3 linked regions of the Saccharomyces cerevisiae S288C genome follow. The gene in region 2 interacts genetically with the main gene of each other region. Each region holds a gene or a part of one and is shown on either strand. Other genes may lie near its edges.

What was found. A genetic interaction does not mean that the proteins touch.
Region 1: mutations in CCA1 (region 2) and YBR085C-A together harm fitness more than expected from each alone (negative genetic interaction), as found in Saccharomyces cerevisiae (one large-scale study listed by BioGRID).
Region 3: mutations in CCA1 (region 2) and TFA1 together harm fitness more than expected from each alone (negative genetic interaction), as found in Saccharomyces cerevisiae (one large-scale study listed by BioGRID).

Annotation. Positions count from the first base shown.
Region 1 is NC_001134.8:418,407-421,804, forward strand, and holds YBR085C-A (uncharacterized protein), read right to left. Parts: upstream 759-3,398; coding exon 501-758; downstream 1-500. Other genes in the region: IST2 (Ist2p), read right to left, coding at 1,795-3,398.
Region 2 is NC_001137.3:515,273-524,202, forward strand, and holds CCA1 (tRNA adenylyltransferase), read right to left. Parts: upstream 7,398-8,930; coding exon 5,757-7,397; downstream 1-5,756. Other genes in the region: aminophospholipid-translocating P4-type ATPase DNF1, read left to right, coding at 1-2,187; BCK2 (Bck2p), read left to right, coding at 2,944-5,499; RPH1 (Rph1p), read left to right, coding at 8,097-8,930. UniProt on the Saccharomyces cerevisiae protein: Nucleotidyltransferase that catalyzes the addition and repair of the essential 3'-terminal CCA sequence in tRNAs, which is necessary for the attachment of amino acids to the 3' terminus of tRNA molecules, using CTP and ATP as substrates. tRNA 3'-terminal CCA addition is required both for tRNA processing and repair.
Region 3 is NC_001143.9:383,252-387,706, reverse strand, and holds TFA1 (transcription factor TFIIE subunit TFA1), read right to left. Parts: upstream 1,950-4,455; coding exon 501-1,949; downstream 1-500. Other genes in the region: TCD2 (tRNA threonylcarbamoyladenosine dehydratase), read right to left, coding at 1-145; MAE1 (malate dehydrogenase (oxaloacetate-decarboxylating)), read left to right, coding at 2,982-4,455. UniProt on the Saccharomyces cerevisiae protein: Recruits TFIIH to the initiation complex and stimulates the RNA polymerase II C-terminal domain kinase and DNA-dependent ATPase activities of TFIIH. Both TFIIH and TFIIE are required for promoter clearance by RNA polymerase.

The sequences.
Region 1 (3,398 bases), on a different chromosome or scaffold from region 2:
TTTCAGTATTCGTCCTTTAAAGAATTTTGCACTTTTGACCAAGACCTCTGATTTGCGAGACCTCCCAGTTCGGATGCTTTAAGACACCTCCAAATCTCTAGAAAACTCAACTACAATGCGTCCAGGTATAGAGACGAAATTAATTAAATGAAAAACTTATACGTATACGAACTATCTACCAGCCTGTAATTCACTTATTTAGAATATTTATTTAAATTTTTTTTAAAAACATCAAAAGCAGACGGACAAACGTTTTAAACCAATGACAGGGTCATGGTAATAATAATAGCTTTATCTTTTTTTATTTCTTTCACTTTCGGTTGGTGAAATCAAGTACTTAAAAGACCTAACAAACTCTACAATTTGCGCCTTTCTTTCCCCTAATAGAACATGTTAGATTTATAAGCGAAAACGGAAAAGAAAACTACAGCCCAGCAATAAGAGTGCAAATCAAAGTGTGCATGAAGTGACTCGTATCGAACAAATATTTAGCCACTCGTTCAAGCCTGGCCGGCCAAATCCAAAAGATAATCTTTGGCCTCACCAATGATATTAGCGATGACTTCGCCGTCCTTTAGCACATAACCATGTGATTTATCCTCGCTTAAAACTGTTTGAATTTCATAGTTCTTTTTCTCTTGCTTCTTCAAAAACTCCTGGTACCCACTGACTGTCGTCAGTTCAACAGGTGCGCTTTGCAAGAAAGAACCGGTAGAATGAGTAAAATTTGTGCTTTGTTTGTATAGAGCAGATGACATGTTATAGTATAATGTAATTTATTGTAGTTGGTAACTTGAGCCCCTATCGAATGAAGAGTGCGCCGCTTTCCCTTATACAAACTGGAGCCGCAAGTCCTTTGTCCCTTTTATAATAATGAGATGATCCGGTGATAACTACTTATTGCCAGAAAAAGCCCAGATCAGATAATTAATGGGGGCAAACCAAAACAAGAAAAAAAACCGCGAAATGAAGTGCGGGTCAAAAAGAGGAAAAAGGAATATGGATAACATGTATGCGCGCACTGACGTAACTGCACGTACTTCAGAAGCAACATATATTCAACAAAACTAAGCAAGAAGATATTATTAGCTGTAACTATATCACATTTAGACTTACCCCTATCGTTCATACTTCCCACTGCAACCCTAGTTGTAGTTCTGCTAATAGTCGGCCAATCTTGAACATGTACTGTAAGGCCCAAAAGGGCTCCAGGGATGCCCTTCTACAAAGCATTTCACATGCTAATAAAAGCCCCGTTACATAATAACATCTCCCGCCCACAAAAGCGTTTGATCCTGTTTTTCTATTTGCTTCCATAAAAAATCGGATCACATTTCCTTTTCTTCCGCCTTAGATCTGCACCGAGATCTTTTGCGCTCTATTTTACCCCTAGAAACTGGACCCGGCCTAGAATCTTTCACTGCCACCAGAGAGTTTTAGCCTCGCTCTCTTTTAATTTGCTGAAAAAGGGTTTCCTGATAGAAGCCGCGGTTAATAGAAAAACGGCAAAAAAGTTATGGTCGGTATGTTCTACCCCCCTGGATATAATCGTGTGACTAACATACGTAATGAATCCTAGCTGTGACTCCTCTCGAACGAAGAAGAAAGAGGCAATGCATGCGTAGAAACTAAATCTTGAGATTTCTGTTTGATGAAAACACTGCACAAGGTAAAATGAATTATTCTTTTAAAATTAGAGATACATAAAACATACACTTGATAGAAAGAAGAATACATATTAATTTAATGTCACCATATTATAAAAATAAAATTTGTTATCGTCCTAGCTTTTTTTTAAAGCTTCTTTTTCAGCTTATGCAATAGCCCCTTTTTATGTTTTGGTTTTTCCTTTGCCGCCGATGAAGAGGAAGAGGATTCGGTTGTCTTAGAATTGTTCGTGACATTCTTCACTCCAGCATCACGATGGCGGTGGTGGTGATGATGATGGTGGGGCTGAGTAGCATCTGTAGTAGTAGTAGTAGTAGTATTGTTATTAGATGGTCTCGCAGAATCCTTAGTTTCCTTCGTGGAAATAGATCTTGATGGGCCATTTTTCGTGCTTACTTCAGTCTTTTTTGTTTGTTCAGTAGCCACTGAAACCTTCGATTGGTTATCGTTAACAGCTGCGTTGACAACAGGCTTAATATTTGCATCTTTAATGAGTGGAGTCTTAGTGGCAGCATCGTCTTTGGCCTGGGTATTTTCGTTATTTTCGCCACCAGTAACAGCAATTTTGGGTATTTGATCAATTTTTCTACTTAGTGCATCAACGGCGTCACCATCTGGCAAAAGCTTACTTTCCGTGCCTAAGGTGTTGTTATTGGTGGCGTTGGAAGATTCTGCACTGGATTTCGCATCCCTAATGGATTTACCGTCCTCATCAAACCTTAAGTAGTAATTTTTAGATGTTGGAATTGTTTCTGGTAAAGTGGCGCCCGCAACACCATATGAGCCAACGGTAGGCACCTTCACCAAAGAATTTCTTTTTTCAGTACTTTCTGTGGCCAATGGCTTTTTACCAGCAGATCCGGCTGTATCGTTATCAACAGCTTTGACTACACCGGTTTTGCTGCTAGAAGAAGAAGAAGATAATGAAGGCGAGGAGGCTGAGGATAAAGAAGACGGATCATTGTTGGCATGAGTGGCAGCATGTGCCTCATATCCATTGGCAGAAGAGGCAGGCTGTTTCTCACCGAGTTCTTGGTGCAACTTCTCATTCGCAGACCCTTTTCTTTGAACTAGTTCTTTTTCGTTATTCGAATTAAATTCAGGGGAGGGAATTTTTTCAAAGACTTCTTGTTTTGGTGGGTTTTGCACGTTAACTACATGCTTTGGCACAATGCCATTTGCAACGTCATCATGGGAAGATTTCAAAATACTAGAGAAAAGGAAGAAAATAGCAACACTAACATGCTCAATAAAAACAGCATATAGTACAATATTTATCCACGAGTGGTTTATTGGATTTGCTAGGTACCAAGCTTTATTCGTATGGATGGAAGTATGAGCGCCGACACCTGGTATATTACAGCTCTGGTACATATAGGTCAAAGTAGCAGTGATAACACAACCTAAGATGGAGAACATAACTAAGACAGAGTTCCATAGACCAACCGTCAGTTTTTGGGTATTAGACACAGAGGATGGCTTATCGTAGATTGGAAATGGAAAATACTCAGGTTTACTATAAAGCACAGCTTTCCTCAAATCGACTTGGTAAACAATCAAATTGACTATCAAACAGATAAATGGAGCTAGTGGCCAAATTGTAGAAAACATAACAAGATACCCGAATTGTAGAAGAAGCTTTTTGAAGTTGGCGTCCAAATCAAATGTTGCTCCCCAGGGGTCTGTTTGGTACGACTTAACCTTTGACCAAATTTTCATATCTGATGAGC
Region 2 (8,930 bases):
TCATCGAGAAAAAGAATGTCCTGTATTGTCAAAATTCCGGGTCTGAACCCAGGGGACGAGCCTAGAGCACTTTTAATTTGTAAAGGTGCAGATTCCATTATATACTCAAGATTAAGTCGCCAGAGTGGTAGCAATAGTGAAGCTATTTTGGAAAAAACTGCTTTGCATTTAGAGCAGTACGCTACTGAAGGTTTAAGAACGTTATGCATAGCTCAAAGGGAGTTAAGTTGGTCTGAATACGAAAAATGGAACGAAAAGTACGATATTGCTGCTGCATCATTAGCAAACAGAGAGGATGAATTAGAAGTTGTTGCAGATTCCATTGAACGCGAATTGATATTATTGGGCGGTACAGCTATCGAAGATCGTTTACAAGATGGTGTTCCGGATTGTATAGAGTTGCTTGCAGAGGCAGGAATTAAATTATGGGTTCTTACGGGTGATAAAGTTGAAACAGCTATAAACATTGGATTTTCTTGCAACCTTTTGAATAATGAAATGGAATTGTTAGTTATTAAAACAACTGGTGATGACGTGAAAGAATTCGGATCAGAACCAAGTGAAATTGTGGATGCTTTACTCTCCAAATACTTGAAGGAGTATTTCAACTTAACCGGTTCAGAAGAAGAGATTTTTGAAGCTAAAAAGGATCACGAATTTCCGAAGGGTAATTACGCCATCGTTATCGATGGTGATGCTTTGAAATTGGCGCTATATGGTGAAGATATAAGAAGAAAGTTTCTTTTACTCTGCAAGAATTGTAGAGCTGTCTTATGCTGTAGAGTATCTCCATCTCAAAAAGCAGCCGTTGTTAAGTTAGTCAAGGATTCTCTAGATGTCATGACACTAGCCATCGGCGATGGTTCCAACGACGTCGCCATGATTCAATCTGCGGATGTTGGTATTGGTATTGCCGGTGAAGAAGGTCGACAAGCTGTTATGTGCTCAGACTACGCCATTGGACAATTCAGATATTTGGCTAGATTGGTCCTCGTTCACGGTAGGTGGTCTTATAAGAGACTGGCAGAAATGATTCCTGAGTTTTTTTACAAAAACATGATTTTTGCTTTGGCATTGTTCTGGTATGGTATCTATAATGATTTTGATGGGTCTTACCTGTATGAATACACATACATGATGTTCTATAATTTGGCATTTACATCCCTACCAGTCATCTTCTTAGGTATTCTGGACCAGGACGTGAATGACACAATATCATTAGTGGTCCCTCAGTTATACCGTGTTGGAATTTTAAGGAAAGAATGGAACCAAAGAAAGTTCTTATGGTATATGTTGGACGGATTATATCAGTCTATTATCTGTTTTTTTTTCCCTTACTTGGTTTATCACAAAAATATGATAGTTACGAGCAATGGGTTAGGATTGGATCATCGTTATTTTGTCGGTGTTTATGTGACCACTATTGCTGTAATTTCGTGTAACACATATGTTTTATTACACCAATATAGATGGGATTGGTTTAGTGGATTATTCATTGCACTGTCTTGCCTCGTAGTTTTTGCATGGACGGGAATATGGTCTTCTGCGATAGCTAGTAGAGAATTTTTCAAAGCTGCAGCGCGTATCTATGGAGCACCTTCATTTTGGGCTGTTTTCTTTGTTGCCGTGCTGTTCTGCTTACTGCCCCGTTTCACATATGACAGTTTTCAAAAATTTTTCTACCCAACTGATGTGGAAATAGTAAGAGAGATGTGGCAACATGGCCATTTCGATCATTATCCTCCTGGTTACGATCCAACAGATCCCAACAGACCCAAGGTCACAAAAGCTGGGCAACACGGAGAGAAGATTATAGAAGGCATAGCACTTTCCGACAACTTAGGAGGATCGAACTATTCAAGGGATAGTGTTGTCACAGAGGAGATTCCAATGACTTTCATGCACGGTGAAGATGGAAGTCCTAGCGGATATCAGAAGCAAGAAACCTGGATGACTTCACCCAAGGAAACACAAGATCTTCTTCAATCGCCCCAATTTCAGCAGGCCCAAACGTTCGGAAGAGGCCCATCAACCAACGTCAGGTCATCCTTGGACCGCACAAGAGAACAGATGATCGCCACTAACCAACTAGATAACCGCTACTCTGTGGAAAGAGCGAGAACATCTCTAGATCTACCAGGCGTAACTAACGCAGCCTCCTTAATCGGAACACAACAGAACAATTAATAATGATATCCGAACCATAGCTGATGGAACTCCGCTTTTCACTGTATATATAATATTACATAATATTACTGGATAAGCCTTAGAAGCCTTAGAAGCCTTAGAAGCCTTGGAATTCATGCATACTACAGCGTTAACTCTTTCTTTTAGCAAGTTTTAGTAGCGGACGTGTGGGTTTCTTTGTTCTATAATTAACACTCCCGGTTAACCCGGATCGCTATTATTCAAGGACGCACAATGGTGGGCTAATTTTTTCTTCCGATGGAAAACTGACGCCAGCACTTTCCAGCGCTGGGAACTCTCCACTAACTGGCAAAAAAATTGATTAAGGTCATGATCAAAGGAATTTTTGAAATGTTGTAAAGTAGAGTTAAGAATTAATCAAGCCGTGATACGTATGTTTTTGACTAGGTGAGAGACTATATTTATCAAAAATAGTTTTTTATACTAACAGAAAGTTTATTATATCATAGAAATCCTAGGCCTATTGTTATTATTTGCGTGAAAAAAGGTTCATGCCTAGTTATTCAGGATATTAATCAGGCATAGTCATAGTTTTGTAATACACGTCTTTCACTCCTATTTCCGGTTAACATTCGCTAATATCCATCAAATTATTGACTTTTTTTTCAGTGGATTTGTTGTTAATAAAGGAAACAATCAGATCAGCCATTTAGGGAAGTCTTTTAAGAAAGCTCAGAAGGAGATCTAAGACAAGAAGCAAGGCAGTCTTGATTTATCGCTCAAAACCAATAGCACATGCCGAAGAATAGTCACCACCATCGTTCCAGTTCGGTTAATTCCACAAAGAGTCGTTCTACGGAATCTACGAATAAATGGAAAATTCCGCACTATTATCGCAGATCCGCTAGCGGCAGCACACAAGCTTCGCCGGACAGGAACTCCTCAACAGGCTCATGTAGCACTCCAGTATTACCTACTATGAATGTTATGTCTAGCCCGAAAAAAGTTTTGCTAGAGGATCCCAGAGACAACCATACTAAGGCGAAGAAGAGTAGTAGAAAGAAATCAGGTGAAATGGTCTTCGTCAATTATACTGTACAGGACACGGCTAACGAAAATGATACTGACTTGCAAACCCAGCCGGTTTCTGTGCCAGCACCAAAGGCGAAATTAAAGAAGAAATCCTCCAAAAGGAGAATGCTGAAGATATTTGGATCGTCAAAGAACGAACACATAGAGGACATCGTTGAAGAGCAACCAATGGTGCTTCAAATGGATTCAGAATCTAAACCCCTTTCGGGAACCCCTATCTCAGAAAGCGGAATCGACGCCTCGTCACTAACAACCAAAAGATCTTATAACTCGTTCTTAAAACACAATAGGCTAAACGGTAAAACTCCGTTCTCTGGAAACTTGTCCTTTCCATCATTAAACATGATGGGTAACACTACTGATCTGCCTATTGACAATAACGATTTTTGTTCCGAGAAAGAAGTCGTTCCGAAATCAACTCATGATCCTTCACTAGCAAAACCGCCATCAAGGTTCACTGAAAGCGAAACAAATTCTACTCCCAACTTATCAAGTATACCTCTCATGAACACAAAAAATACAAGATTGAAGTACAATAAAGTGGCGCCTCAGAGTTCAGACCGACAAAAGTCACAGGAAAGTGGGCTATATCATTCTACCGAATCATTCAACTTCAAAGATCAAAACTACAGTAACAATAAATCCTCTTTAAGTCTGAACTCCGATTTAAGTACACCCCACTTTGCAAAGCATTCACCTGATTCACCAAGAACTTCAAGATCTTTCAACTGCGGAGACTCACAAAGTAAAGTTAAATTACCGGAAGAAAATGACGCTTCTATTGCATTTAGTAAGATGTTTACTAGAAAACGAGCCAACACTGGCGGGTCCACGTGTTCGCTAGCCTCACCCACTATTGCACAAACTATTCAGCAATCAAATATAAAAGTTAATAAATTGCCAACTCAGCGAACCACTTCAGTTGGCTCATTATCATCCATGTCAAATCGTTATTCACCAATAAGAGTTGCATCGCCAGGAAGAGCAAGATCCGCAACTCGTGGGTCTTCCCTTTATAGATTATCCAGAGACCTTAATTCTTTACCAAGCGTCACTGATCTACCAGAAATGGATAGTACAACCCCAGTTAACGAAATATTCTTGGATGGCCAACCACAGCATAAAAGTGGCAGTGTCAAAGGAGGGCATAGGAAGAAACAAGAATCTATCTCTGATGCTCAAAGAATTCAACATTCTAATTCGTACATTACAACACCTTCATCTTCTCTGGTGACTCCTCCTTACTACATGACAGGTTACACATTACCAAGTTCTGCATCTGCTTCTTCAACTCCAAATGTGCTTGAAACACACAATATGAACTTTGTTCCAAGTACCAGTACTGTTACAAGTTATCGCCCATCTAGCAATTTTTCCTCATTTGACAAAGAATACAGTAACGAAAACGACGCTAGTGGGGAATTCTCTGCTTTCAATACTCCAATGGAGAATATACCGGCACTAAAAGGTATACCTAGATCCACGTTAGAAGAAAATGAAGAAGAGGATGTCCTAGTACAAGATATTCCGAATACGGCACACTTCCAAAGAAGGGATATTATGGGGATGGATACTCACAGAAAGGATGACAGTTTAGATTTTAACTCTTTGATGCCACACGGTAGTACAACTAGTAGCAGCATCGTAGATTCTGTTATGACGAACTCAATATCCACTACAACAAGCAACGCGACCGGAAACTACTTTCAAGATCAAGATAAGTATACATTGGTAAATACGGGATTGGGATTGAGTGATGCAAACCTCGATCATTTTATTAGATCTCAATGGAAACACGCTTCTCGATCAGAATCCAATAATAATACCGGAAATCGCGTTTCTTACAGTGGCTCAACACCAAACAATGTTGATACAACAAAGACTAATTTGCAAGTGTATACCGAGTTCGATTTTGAAAACCCAGAGTCGTTTTTCCATGAGCAATCGAAGCTACTAGGTGAGATGGGCCACAGCAATAACAACAGCAACAGCGCCATCAACATGAATGAACCCAAGTCTGCGGATACATACATTGGAAATATATCTCCGGATACTTCAGCAACTGTTTCATTAGGCGACCTGATGGGCTCAAACGTTTCAAACAACAGTGAAAGAAATTTTTACGATGGTCATACTTTCGTTCCACAGTATCAGGCGAACTCATCTGTGGAAAACTCAAATAATCAAAATGCAGCACCAATTGCAAATAACGACATTGATAATAATTTACAGTCTTTTTATTTTGATAATAGCAACTAAAAAAGGAATGAAAAAAAAAAAAAAAAGTTCAAAAATAGTAACAGATATCTTTCGAAAAAGTTAAAAACTGGTAAAAAATTTTGAATAGAGTATATAAAAACTAATAAATATGTTTAGTTATCATACACCATAGAATAACTACTAGAGATATTATTTCATTTTCGTTTTCATTTTTTTTATTTTTTTCTTTTCAATAAGGTAACAGAAAGTTATTTATGCATTCTTGTTCTACATGTCTTATGTATACTAATAAGCTACTACAGGTATTTTGGTAGTATGGCTTTTAAATGAGTTATTAATTCTTGATCAGTCCCTGTAGGATTATCAAACTGCCACCTAATCGCTTCGTTATTAATTTTACCCAGCCATGGACCTGGCTTCATTTGAAGTAGTTTTGCCATTTGTTTTCCGTCCACTATTGGTTTTAGTTCATGACAATTATTCAAATTATTGTCAAATATGTAAGAATAAAATTCATTGTAATTTTGGAAAAGTAATTCAATTTTTTTAGTTTCAAGCTTGGGAATCTTTAAAAATGCATCTGATAGAGATGCAAAATGTGCTGTTTCCCATTCGCCATTAAAGTTCCGTAGAAATATACCGATTTCGGATTTTTTTAGCTGGGAACGATCTGCAAACTTAGCAAGTATTTCCTCATATGAACATATTGAATCTACGGTCTTGGCAATAACTGCTGCATCATTTTTACTCAGCTTCAATCCTTCCTTCACAATGCTTTCTGTCACCGAAACCAGGTTGTTAATTTTCTTCTTTGGGTTCCCGATTATTTGTAAATTAGCCATGGGGGACAGGATCGCACTCAATATAAAATTTTGCTGAAATCCTGGCGAACGACCAATTTTTTCCCTTAAGATAGGAAGCTTCTCTAAAAACATTGGATATAATTCAATAAAACTTTTCAAGTGTGAGTTTAGTATGTTATCATTGTATACATGATTAATTTTGTCCATATCTTGACAATTCTCTTCGTTGAATTTTACGACGGAGCTATCATTATGCCAAAAAAAGATAACATTTTCAAGATGAGCCCTTTGAATCAGCTGCAAAGCCAATAAAGGGGTTGGTCCTACTAATATTTTCTCCATCTCCACACCAACTCGCTCTCTAGAAATTTTTGAATTGAATGCAACATTAATCTGAGGATCGCCCATTTCAGCCATCACTTCCGGATCTATGGTAAAGTTGAATCTAGAAGCAAAACGGATCAACCTCAAAACCCTCAAGGGATCATCCAAAAATGTTTGTTTTGCAGGAAGCGGAGTACGGAGAACGCCATCTTTTAGATCTTGCAGACCTCTCTTGGTGAAATCTTCCACTTCACCTTTATGAATGTTATAGAAAAGAGCGTTCAATGTAGCATCCCTTCTTAAAGCGTCTTCCTCGGGTGTGCCAAAGCACACTTTAGGTATCCTGGAAAGTTCAGTATACTTTTCAGATCTTAAATTGACAAAATCCACTTCAACGCCAAAGAGCTTAGTAGTGGCAGTTTCCAGATGCTTGGATTTCTCGGGATTCTTGTCAATCTTGTGGATATTATGAGGCTTGGCTCCATATTTGGCGTAATGTTGTTGCAAATACTCGTTCAAACCAGTAGCAAATTGCTCACCTGACATCACATTGATGGCAATATCCAAGTCGTGAGAACCTTGTCCCAGAAGCTTGTCACGCACCCATCCGCCCGTGATCCGAAGAGTCAATGGCTCAGGCTTATTGTGGTACTTTTGATTGTACAAGTCTGTATAATCGTTCAGCAAGTTACAGATGTTCTGTTCCACTTTGGTTAAGGTGATTTTGGGTGCATTTAGAACAAAATTAGAATTCGTCATCGTTTTCTGAGCAGCACTATTCATCAGTAGAGATATAGTAGACCGTAGCATACACAAAAAAAGCCCTTATAACCCACGGATACGAATTAATCTCGAGGGAAGCGTTGCGATGTATTATGTAGTTTCCTTTAGTACATTGTTAATATGGTAGATTTTTGCGATTCATTTTTCAACTTTTCAACCCTAACGAATGTTTTTTAGGGCTGAGTAACGACAAGAACACAACCCTAAAAATCAGATGACCTAAGGGTTTGGTGAATCGAGAAAGTATGCCCTATTTCCCCCGCCCATACACCCCATAAGCCTTAACCGCAGCCCTCCTCTCCCCTAAACGTTTCTTTTTCTTTTTCCATTTTTTTTTTTTTTTTAGTTTTACTTTCTTTTTATTCGGAAAAATCTTTTCTATATTTTTCAAGGGTAACCTCATCGCCATGCAATTAATCACATAGACTCCTTAAGTAACAATGGCAAGGCGATAATTTTAAGAGAATTGCAGACGCTGTACATAGATCGTTATCAGCAAAACATATATTCGCATCGAAGGCGTTGCTTGTCCCTGAAGTAGCTACTTGCGGTTTTCATCAAGCGGCCAATTTAATCATTCTATCAGCATTATTTTAAAATAGGGGGACTTAACCTTTCTATTAGTACCACTTATTTTATAGATCTGCTGGAGAAAAATAAACAGATAAAAAAAAGGGAAAAAAAGAATAAGACTGTCTTGGTGAGGATATTCAGTTGCGTGAAATCATGACGAAACTAATCGCTCCTTCAGAAATCGTGGGCGGAGTGCCCGTCTTCAAACCCACATACGAGCAATTCGAAGATTTCTATGCATACTGCAAGGCCATAAACAAATATGGCATGAAAAGTGGTGTTGTGAAAGTAATCCCACCTAAAGAATGGAAAGACAAATTAGATCTGCCTTATTCTGCGGAAACGCTCCAAAAGATCAAGATTAAATCACCTATTCAGCAGCATATTTCTGGTAATAAAGGTCTTTTTATGGTGCAGAACGTGGAGAAAAACAAGACCTATAACATTATACAGTGGAAAGATCTTTCTAAGGACTATGTGCCTCCGGAGGATCCTAAAGCAAGACGTAATTCTAGGAAAGGCTCCGTTTCCAAATCCACGAAGTTGAAACTGAAAAATTTTGAATCGTCTTTTAATATTGATGATTTTGAACAGTTCAGGACGGAGTATACAATAGATTTATCTGACTTCCAAAATACGGAGAGATTAAAGTTCTTGGAAGAGTATTATTGGAAAACGCTAAATTTTACTACGCCTATGTACGGCGCAGATACACCAGGATCAATCTTTCCTGAAGGGCTGAACGTTTGGAATGTTGCCAAACTACCGAACATCTTGGACCATATGGAAACAAAGGTTCCTGGGGTGAATGACTCCTATCTATACGCTGGTCTATGGAAGGCTTCTTTTTCTTGGCACTTGGAAGATCAGGACCTGTATTCCATAAATTATATTCATTTCGGTGCCCCAAAACAGTGGTATTCGATACCGCAAGAGGATAGGTTCAAATTCTACAAATTCATGCAGGAGCAATTTCCCGAAGAAGCC
Region 3 (4,455 bases), on a different chromosome or scaffold from region 2:
GCCCACCTTTATTCTTATTTTTTTGTTGCGCAATTACTTGCTTTTGTGCTTGCCAACTGGTCCAAGCATAATCTGTAATCGTCGTCACTGCCACAGTGAATAGTGCAGTGGCAGTTATCAGTTTCCATGTATCCTTCTCTACCATATTATTTTTGTACTTTGGTTGAATGATAAAGCAATCCTTCTGTGCCTTCTATAAGTTGAGGTTCTTTATTAAATATATATAAACTAAATATGCTCGAAAAAATATTTTTTACACCTCAATATTCTCACTAGTAATGTTTTTATTATTACTATAAAGATGCCATATGTCTAGTAGCTCCGCTTTCTTTTTCTGAAATTTTTTCATGTGATTTTTTCCAGACGTATTCTTTTTTTTTTCTCTCATTTTTTTTAGATTTTAAGAGAAGCTTGATACAATAGAGAAGAAAATGAAGAAAGGAAAAGTTGGTTCTACATTGTAAGAGCTAGTTGGTAAGATTTAAAAAAAACGGACCATATCAAACGTCCTCAAACTCAATGTCCATCTCATCATCATCATCATCATCATCATCATCACCATCATTTGGTTTAGCGTTTGCACTCGGACCTGAAGCAGTGGCAGTAGCATTTACAGCGTCTTCAGTCTTATCATTAATCGATTCTTGTTTTACGTCGTTGGAGGTGTTTGATTCTGTCTTTGCGGTGCCAGCTGTATCCGTTACGTCTTCAAATTCATCTTCCAATGCATTTTCTCTAGCAGTTTCATCGTTATCATCCATAACATCTTCCATCTCTTCTTCCTCTTCTTCTTCCTCATCCTCTTCTTCTTCTTCCTCCTCCTCTTCTTCTTTATTGAGCTTTGCTTGCTTTTTAGCCAAAGCAGCGTAGTAATCATTCAACGTCTTTTCATTCTCTCTTTCTTCCATTTCTTGCTCGGTCAGAGTTCTGTTATTTTGATAGGATGTTTCCTGTGCAGGTTCATTATCAGGATTTATAGAATCCATGGCAGATGCAGTAACTACAGGATCGAACTCCTCTTCATTATCCAGTCTACCAAGAGCAGTTTTACCGATGGTACTCTGTTTATGCCATTCAGGGACAGCGTTTTGTTTTCTTTTCTCTTCAGCCTGTCTCTCTTGCAATTCCCTTTGAGCCACTTCATCACTTGCCGTGGTAATGTTGATGTGTAATGTGGCTTGAGAGTTAGCACCGGCACGTCTACTACTGTCGTTACCAAGAGCAGTACCCATAAGATTTGGCAATGGAGCAGAATCTCCCGGTCTGAACATGGTGCTGCCTTTCTTTGGATTGTACGTGTATGCTGCATGTGATTGATTTTGAGGTGGTATCAAGCGAGCCAATGCAATTTCGAAAGTATTCTCCTCAATTCTTGAATCATCAATCTTTTTCAAAGAATCAATGATTGGCTGAATTTGGTCCATTAACCTATTTAATTTATCTTGCTTCTCTTTGTTTTTTTTACCAGAATCATCTTCCACCAACGGTTCATCACATAGGGAACATAAAAATTCTGTCCTATCAAAATTCAATAATTGTACAGCTTCCAATTGTGTGTACTTGGTCAAACAAATCGGACACATGTAACCATTAGGTTCTGAATTTTTGTCCAAGTCATCCTTCAATCTTTGTACGACTTGATGGACCTTCCATTTGATTGCGTCAATAGCATGAGGATATTTTACATAGTAGTAAACTCTTTCCACACTTTTTGAGTTTGGAGGGTATTCTCTTTGTTTGTGTATGGATATTAACCTGTCTGATCTTAGTCTAGCAATTAGCGGCCCCAGTTCCGTCTTATTTATGCTCAACAATTGTTTCAAGTCATCTTCAGCTAGGACCGAGTGAAATAGTATAGCATCGAGTACCAGTACAAAGGAGCCACCATAAAACCCCCTAACGACGAACTTTAAAAGATTTTTCACAATATCATCTATAGGTCTATCCATACTCTACTCACTGCAGCAGCTGCTTCCAGTAGTTTTCTATCTTTGGCTCGATTAGGACGAGCAATCATGCTGCCAAGTTTACACTTAATTAGCTTTTTTCCTAATCTTGCAAGAACCGCTTAGATAATCACTACACACGGTAACGCTTAGTAAAAAACCAAAAAAAAAAACCAAGTATTATTACGTATTAACTCACCAGACTACAATAGTAACCTGAAATTCGCCCATGGTACAATTTACACTTCCAAATTTTTTTGTTTTTTTATCATTTGGACATCCTTTGCCCTTCACCCAGTGTCAATCATTACAACAATTATAGCGATTCATCACAGTGCAAGGATCACTCTTAACGAAGGAAGAAAAGTTAGAAAAATTTCTCATATGTTTCGCGTTTATTTTCGATACCAATTCGTTTCGATGTGTGCAAATTGAATATTGCATCGTGCATTGCAAGGTTTTTCAAATTCTTGCGTCTTGTCAACCGTTCAAGGCGATTGAAAGATATTCACTGCATATCTTCTTATACGAAAAGCATCGAAGAAAAAACACCCATACAACCAAGTATAGACGGAACAATTCGGGTTTTTACTCTTCCCTAGGCGGTTTAAATCGGATATATGAAAAGAAATCAAAAAAAAAAAAAAAAAAAAAAAAGAATTGGCGCATTTGAAGTTTTATTATCGTACGCGTTATTGTTTGCGCTAACATCGCATCGCATCAGCTGACTGAGTGACTGAGTCCCCTTGGCTTCGACTCATCATCGCCTTTCTATGGTGAAAAATTTTCGCAATTTCCTATTACTGTACCGCGTATGCTCCATTTGACTTCCTTTGGTCTACAGCTTTAGCGCTATAGAGTTTCGAAGTCGTACCCGTTACCGGCATGATTGACATATTATATATATATATATATGCGTATCTTTATACTTACTCGTATATTGTGTCCAGCTTCGGATATTTGTGCTTTTGAAACCTACAACTTTTAACGAGTTTAGTGCACATAAATACCAAGACAAAAGGTAGAAATACGGTTATGCTTAGAACCAGACTATCCGTTTCCGTTGCTGCTAGATCGCAACTAACCAGATCCTTGACAGCATCAAGGACAGCACCATTAAGAAGATGGCCTATTCAGCAATCGCGTTTATATTCTTCTAACACTAGATCGCATAAAGCTACCACAACAAGAGAAAATACTTTCCAAAAGCCATACAGCGACGAGGAGGTCACTAAAACACCCGTCGGTTCTCGCGCCAGAAAGATCTTCGAAGCTCCTCACCCACATGCCACTCGTTTGACTGTAGAAGGTGCCATAGAATGTCCCTTGGAGAGCTTTCAACTTTTAAACTCTCCTTTATTTAACAAGGGTTCTGCATTTACACAAGAAGAAAGGGAAGCGTTTAATTTAGAAGCATTGCTACCACCACAAGTGAACACTTTGGACGAACAACTGGAAAGAAGCTACAAGCAGTTATGCTATTTGAAGACGCCCTTGGCCAAAAACGACTTCATGACGTCTTTGAGAGTACAGAACAAAGTCCTATATTTTGCATTAATAAGGAGACATATCAAGGAATTAGTTCCTATCATTTACACCCCAACCGAAGGTGATGCTATTGCTGCCTATTCCCACAGGTTCAGAAAGCCAGAAGGTGTGTTTTTAGACATTACCGAACCTGATTCCATCGAATGTAGATTGGCTACATACGGTGGAGACAAAGATGTAGACTACATCGTTGTGTCGGATTCGGAAGGTATTCTGGGAATTGGTGACCAAGGTATCGGTGGTGTACGTATTGCTATCTCCAAATTGGCATTGATGACGCTGTGCGGTGGTATTCATCCCGGCCGTGTGCTACCTGTGTGTTTGGACGTCGGTACTAACAACAAGAAACTAGCCCGTGACGAATTGTACATGGGTAACAAGTTCTCCAGAATCAGGGGTAAGCAATATGACGACTTCTTGGAAAAATTCATCAAGGCCGTTAAGAAAGTGTATCCAAGCGCCGTTCTGCATTTCGAAGATTTCGGTGTTAAGAACGCTAGAAGATTACTAGAAAAGTACAGGTACGAATTGCCATCATTCAACGATGACATTCAGGGCACCGGTGCCGTCGTGATGGCCTCGTTGATTGCTGCTTTGAAACATACCAACAGAGACTTGAAAGACACCAGAGTGCTTATTTACGGTGCCGGGTCTGCGGGCCTCGGTATCGCAGATCAAATTGTGAATCATATGGTCACGCACGGCGTTGACAAGGAAGAAGCGCGCAAGAAAATCTTCTTGATGGACAGACGTGGGTTAATTCTACAATCTTACGAGGCTAACTCCACTCCCGCCCAACACGTATACGCTAAGAGTGATGCGGAATGGGCTGGTATCAACACCCGCTCTTTACATGATGTGGTGGAGAACGTCAAACCAACGTGTTTGGTTGGCTGCTCCACACAAGCAGGCGCATTCACTCAAGATGTCGTAGAAGAAATGCACAAGCACAATCCTAGAC